2 linked regions of the Xenopus tropicalis genome follow. The protein of the gene in region 2 purifies or fractionates together with the protein of the main gene of each other region. This does not show direct contact. Links are inferred from orthologs where the notes say so. Each region holds a gene or a part of one and is shown on either strand. Other genes may lie near its edges.

Region 1 (2,479 bases), on a different chromosome or scaffold from region 2:
CCTTTGACTATGGTTTGTGTGTTTAGGAGGTCGAAGGTTCCTCTCTCTTACAGTACTGCATATCTGTGCCCAAGTTTCGATGGACCATTAAGCCCCCCCGAGGGGACCCAAAGAGGTGCATTTTTTTGTTTGTTTTTGATAATGTTGCTTTTTATCATGTTGGCAACTGACTATGTTCAGTATAACTTACTATGGTTAAAATATATAAATATATATGTATATACAAATACATATATATATCATTTTATAAAATTATTATGATACGAGTGTACAGAGTTTAATGGGTGGGGAAGGGTGGGGCGGGGGTTGGGAAGCAAAAGGGAGAGGAAATTACCTCGGAGCTATCCAATAAGGTGTGTTTGGAAACAGCTCGTTAAAAAAATAAAAATCGTTTCACTTCATTGTCCCTTTGCAATCGTTTTGTTTTTGTTTTTTTTTTTCAAGTTTAAAAAAATAGTCAGCTTTTCCCTGTTGTAGCGGTTTAAGTGTGTTTATCTCCTTCTGATTAAAGCAGCTTTTGCACTTTTTTTTTTGTTTTTGCTTTTGTTTTTTTTTTTTTTTTAGTTTTTTTTTCTTGGAAAAAAAAAAACTTCTAAAAACAAATAAAACAAAAGGAAAAATAAAAAAAAATAAAAAAAAAGAGAGAAAACAAACCCACACACAAAAAAAAAAAAAACCAAACAAACCTAGATTGAATTTAGTCACGAGCTTGCCACAGGACTCTGCTGAACACAAACTCCTGTCATGGGAGAGTCTTCTCGGTCCATCCCTTGCCTCATCGTTAAGTGTCCTTCCGTTACGTAGTGGCCGGGGCCTGTATTTGCAGAATATTGGTAATCTGGATGTCCAGTGATGCCAGTCTCTTGGCGAGGGTTTGAAAAGGCAGTTAAATTAACATCCATAGTTCCATTCTGTCCAAAGTCCAAGGTGTTAGCAGCCACAGGACGATTCTGGTAGGCCTGATTGCCTTGGTTGCCAGTAGAAGAGGAAGATGTTGAGGAAGAAGTAGTTGAGGAAGACAAGGATGTCATGGAGTGGTGGCTGTGACCGACATCCATAGAATCCTGGGTGGAGGAGCTAGTTGATGGAGAATTGTAGATCCTGGTCCTCGTCCTGTTACTCAAGACATGCTGTCCGTGGTGGTGATGATGGTGGTGGTGATGGTGGTGGGAGCCATTCCCATGGTGATGCGGTACATTTTGCTGGGAAGGGGGGACATGAAATGTTGTTTCTTGGACAGGGTGTGTTTCAATGGTGACCTGCGTAGGGGCTTCAGGGACGGTCCAACCAGGAGGAAACTGTTGTCGAACCTAAGGAAGGGAAAAAAAGGTTAAAACACAGATAAATGCACATATACAGCTCCCTACACAGCACAGGAAATAAAGTCATTGTTTTTTTTTCTTGGTTTTATTTTTAAACACTACCTAAGCCTTGGAAATAATGATCTGTATAATATAAAACCTTAAGATTTCCCCCAGTGGTTGGCTGTCTCCTGGGTCTACAGAGAGGAAGTTCATAATAAAGGGTGATTGGCTGGGAAGGCCAAATGGGATCAATGTCAAATGAAAGTGCTTTCAGTGTCTCTGTTCTGTACTGTTTAGTGCTACAAATAACATAAATATTATTATATAAAACTAGAGGGAGAAGAAAACAAGTCCTGCAATAACCCTTCTTTTTGGGCTCTTGTTGAAGATAAAGACTGTTTAGGAAACCATGGTTCTACATCTGCACTTACACAGGTACCTGAGCTTCTTCGGGTCAGTGCCAGAACAGGTCATGCAGTAACTGGAATGGTGACTAAAGCACCGAATATAAAGACACAAAACCCCCAGGGCTGCCATGCAACCACCCCAAAAAGCACCCATTGTTAGTGGCCCTGAGCAAGGATTTGATAAACAGCAATCACACACTTACCAGTGGACTGGCCCATTATCCCTCTGCAGGGACAGTCAATATCTACTAAATCTGAAGTTTTAAATACATGAAAACAACTATGGCTAGTGAGCTTCCCATGTAATTGACCCTGTAGCCCAGCATAATGCTCTGGTTATGACCAACACTAAAGTGCCAAAGGCTGGGGCACAATCATTCTGTCGTTAATGGAGAGGACATTACTAGTGTCATTTTTTTCCACGTGCGGAAATTTTTTGCAACGTGGTCGAAAATTTTTTGTAGAGCACAGAATTTTTACGCAGTGAATTTTGTCGCCTGTTTTGCAAAATAATCCTCCAATGGCGAAACATGGAAATTCACTGCAAATCCATGCCTGACGAATTTCGCCCGTCACTAGACTTAGTACCTAGATGTCAATCCGGTTTGTAAATGCCCTCTGTGCTTTCTAATTTACAATAAAATATATTGGAAATATATATAAAGCTTAAGGGCAGGGGTACACGGGGAGATTAGTTGCCCCATGACAAATCTTTGTTGTCGTGGGCAACTAATCTCCCTGCCATGCCATCTCACCGGCTAGAATGTA
Region 2 (4,319 bases):
CTGGGGGGAGATGTACATAGGAGGAATACAGGGCTAGGGGGATGTATATGGGAGGGATACAGGGCTGGGGGGGATGTATATAGGAGGGATACAGGGCTGGGGGGGGATGTATATAGGAGGGATACAGGGCTGGGGGAGATGTACATAAGAGAATACAGGGCTGGGGGGAGATGTATATAGGAGGGATACAGGGCTAGGGGGGATGTATATGGGAGGGATACAGTGCTGGGGGGGATGTGTATAGGAGGGATACAGGGCTGGGGGGGATGTATATAGGAGGGATACAGGGCTGGGGGGATGTATATAGGAGGGATACAGGGCTAGGGGGGATGTATATGGGAGGGATACAGTGCTGGGGGGGATGTGTATAGGAGGGATACAGGGCTGGGGGGATGTATATAGGAGGGATACAGGGCTGGGGGGATGTATATAGGAGGGATACAAGGCTGGGGGGGATGTATATAGGAGGGATACAGGGCTGGGGGGATGTATATAGGAGGGATACAGGGCTGGGGGGATGTATATAGGAGGGATACAGGGCTAGGGGAGATGTATATAGGAGGGATACAAGGCTGGGGGGAGATGTATATAGGAGGAATACAGGGCTGGGGGGAGATGTATATAGGAGGGATACAGGGCTGGGGGGGATGTGTATACGAGGGATACAGGGCTGGGGGGGGATGTATATAGGAGGGATACAGGGCTGGGGGGGATGTGTATAGGAGGGATACAGGGCTGGGGGGATGTGTATACGAGGGATACAGGGCTGGGGGGGATGTATATAGGAGGGATACAGGGCTGGGGGGGATGTGTATAGGAGGGATACAGGGCTGGGGGGGGATGTATATAGGAGGGATACAGGGCTGGGGGGATGTATATAGGAGGGATACAGGGCTGGGGGGGATGTATATAGGAGGGAGAGATATGTAGGAGGGATACAGCCATATAAATGTTAAAGGTGAAGCCTAGGTGTGCCCGTAGGTGCCAGTTTAGGAATATGTACCCCCCGGGTCCCATGCGGGGGGGGGCAGTGCCAGTAGCTGGGGTGGCAGTGCCTATTGCTGGGGGAGACAGTGCCAGTAGCTGGGGGAGGCAGTGACAATAGCTGGGGGGCAGTGACAGTAGCTAGGTGGGGCAGTGCCAGTAGCTGGGGGGGGGGCAGTGCCAGTAGCTGGGGGCAGTGCCAGTAGCTGGGGGGCAGTGCCAGTAGCTGGAGGGGGCAGTGCCAGTAGCTGGGGGGGGCAGTGCCAGTAGCTGGGGGGCAGTGCCAATAGCTGGGGGGGGCAGTGCCAGTAGCTGGGGGGGGGACACAGTGCCAGTAGCTGGGGGGGCAGTGCCAGTAGCTGGGGGGGGACACAGTGCCAGTAGCTGGGGGGCAGTGCCAGTAGCTGGGGGGGGCAGTGCCAGTAGCTGGGGGGGGCAGTGCCAGTAGCGGGGGGGGCAGTGCCAGTAGCTGGGGGGGGCAGTGCCAGTAGCTGGGGGGGCAGTGCCAGTAGGGGGGGCAGTGCCAGTGGGGGGGCAGTGCCAGTAGCTGGGGGGGGCAGTGCCAGTAGCTGGGGGGGCAGTGCCAGTAGGGGGGGGCAGTGCCAGTAGGGGGGCAGTGCCAGTAGCTGGGGGGGGCAGTGCCAGTAGGGGGGGGGCAGTGCCAGTAGCTGGGGGGGGCAGTGCCAGTAGCTGGGGGGGCAGTGCCAGTAGGGGGGGCCAGTGCCAGTAGCTGGGGGGGCAGTGCCAGTAGCTGGGGGGGGCAGTGCCAGTAGGGGGGGGGCAGTGCCAGTAGCTGGGGGGGGGCAGTGCCAGTAGCTGGGGGGGCAGTGCCAGTAGCTGGGGGGCAGTGCCAGTAGCTGGGGGGCAGTTGCCAGTAGCTGGAGGGGCAGTGCCAGTAGCTGGGGGGGCAGTGCCAGTAGCTGGGGGGGCAGTGCCAGTAGCTGGGGGGCAGTGCCAATAGCTGGGGGGGGGGCAGTGCCAGTAGCTGGGGGGGGGACACAGTGCCAGTAGCTGGGGGGGGCAGTGCCAGTAGGGGGGGGCAGTGCCAGTAGCTGGGGGGGGCAGTGCCAGTAGCTGGGGGGGCAGTGCCAGTAGCTGGGGGGGCAGTGCCAGTAGCTGGGGGGGGCAGTGCCAGTAGGGGGGGGGCAGTGCCAGTAGCTGGGGGGCAGTGCCAGTAGCTGGGGGGGCAGTGCCAGTAGGGGGGGGCAGTGCCAGTAGGGGGGGCAGTGCAGTAGCGGGGGCAGTGCCAGTAGGGGGGCAGTGCCAGTAGGGGGGGCAGTGCCAGTAGGGGGGGCCAGTGCCAGTAGGGGGGGCAGTGCCAGTAGGGGGGCAGTGCCAGTAGCTGGGGGGCAGTGCCAGTAGGGGGGGCAGTGCCAGTAGCGGGGGGGGGCAGTGCCAGTAGGGGGGGGCAGTGCAGTAGGGGGGGCAGTGCCAGTAGGGGGGGGCAGTGCCAGTAGGGGGGGCAGTGCCAGTAGGGGGGCAGTGCCAGTAGGGGGGGGGGGCAGTGCCAAGTAGGGGGGGGCGGCTCAGTAGGGGGGGCAGGGCCAAGTAGGGGGGGGCAGTGCCAGTAGGGGGGGGCAGTGCCAGTAGGGGGGGCAGTGCCAGTAGGGGGGCAGTGCCAGTAGCTGGGGGGCAGTGCCAGTAGCTGGGGGCAGTGCCAGTAGGGGGGGGGCAGTGCCAGTAGGGGGGGGCAGTGCAGTAGGGGGGGCAGTGCCAGTAGGGGGGGGGCAGTGCCAGTAGGGGGGGGGCAGTGCCAGTAGGAGGGGGGGCAGTGCTGCAGTGCGGCTGTGTGTTTGTGCCGATCCCGGAGGAGACACTTACCTGCCAGTGCTGGGGCTTGGGGCCGGCATCTTCCCTGCAGCAGCCCGGGGCGGGGGCAGATGGGCTCATTGCCGGGGGCTGGGGGGAAGGTTTAGCGGCTGGGGGTGACTCCCCGGGACATGGTGGCGCTCCCGGCTGTGAGATGCCCAGACTGTCTCTCCTCCCTCCGCTCCCTGTCAGTCTGGGCTGTGCTACTGGGGGAGGGGCTCAATCGCACCGATCTGCCAGCTGTGCCACCGAGAGCATCGGTCTGTCAGTGTGATTGGCGCTCCGCCCTCTGCCCCGCCCAGCGGTCCCTGGCCACTCCCCCCACCGGGTCAGCACCTGCCTCTCATGGCTCTGCCCCTCCCCCGCTCTCTGTACCTTGATATAACTCCCTGCACCCTGTAACCTGCCTCTCATGGCTCTGCCCCTCCCCCACTCTCTGTACCTTGATATAACTCCCTGCACCCTGTAACCTGCCTCTCATGGCTCTGCCCCTCCCCCGCTCTCTGTACCTTGATATAACTCCCTGCACCCTGTAACCTGCCTCTCATGGCTCTGCCCCTCCCCCGCTCTCTGTACCTTGATATAACTCCCTGCACCCTGTAACCTGCCTCTCATGGCTCTGCCCCTCCCCCACTCTCTGTACCTTGATATAACTCCCCGCACCCTGTAACCTGCCTCTCATGGCTCTGCCCCTCCCCCACTCTCTGTACCTTGATATAACTCCCCGCACCCTGTAACCTGCCTCTCATGGACCTGCCCCTCCCCCACTCCCTGTACCTTGATATAACTCCCCGCACCCTGTAACCTGCCTCTCATGGACCTGCCCCTCCCCCACTCCCTGTACCTTGATATAACTCCCTGCACCCTGTAACCTGCCTCTCATGGACCTGCCCCTCCCCCACTCCCTGTACCTTGATATAACTCCCTGCACCCTGTAACCTGCCTCTCATGGCTCTGCCCCTCCCCCGCTCTCTGTACCTTGATATAACTCCCTACACCCTGTAACCTGCCTCTCATGGCTCTGCCCCTCCCCCGCTCTCTGTACCTTGATATAACTCCCTGCACCCTGTAACCAGCCTCTCATGGCTCTGCCCCTCCCCCACTCTCTGTACCTTGATATAACTCCCTGCACCCTGTAACCTGCCTCTCATGGACCTGCCCCTCCCCCACACTCTGTACCTTGATATAACTCCCCGCACCCTGTAACCTGCCTCTCATGGACCTGCCCCTCCCCCACACTCGGTACCTTGATATAACTCCCTGCACCCTGTAACCTGCCTCTCATGGCTCTGCCCCTCCCCCACTCTCTGTACCTTGATATAACTCCCCGCACCCTGTAACCTGCCTCTCATGGACCTGCCCCTCCCCCACTCTCTGTACCTTTATATAACTCCCCGCACCCTGTAACCTGCCTCTCATGGGTCTGCCCCTCCCCCACTCTCTGTACCTTGATATAACTCCCCGCACCCTGTAACCTGCCTCTCATGGCTCTGCCCCTCCCCCACTCTATGTACCTTGATATAACT

What was found.
Region 1: the proteins of lzts3 (region 2) and dyrk1a purify together in Homo sapiens (affinity purification with mass spectrometry; 3 studies listed by BioGRID and IntAct, with this or other methods). This does not show direct contact. The link is inferred for Xenopus tropicalis from reciprocal best matches to the Homo sapiens genes LZTS3 and DYRK1A.

The regions. Positions count from the first base shown.
Region 1 is NC_030678.2:12,495,327-12,497,805, forward strand, and holds part of dyrk1a (dual specificity tyrosine-phosphorylation-regulated kinase 1A), read right to left. Parts: intron 1,311-2,479; coding exon 702-1,310; 3' UTR 1-701. UniProt on the Homo sapiens protein: Dual-specificity kinase which possesses both serine/threonine and tyrosine kinase activities. Exhibits a substrate preference for proline at position P+1 and arginine at position P-3.
Region 2 is NC_030677.2:12,570,440-12,574,758, forward strand, and holds the start of lzts3 (leucine zipper putative tumor suppressor 3), read right to left. Parts: upstream 3,045-4,319; 5' UTR 2,806-3,044; intron 1-2,805. UniProt on the Homo sapiens protein: May be involved in promoting the maturation of dendritic spines, probably via regulating SIPA1L1 levels at the postsynaptic density of synapses.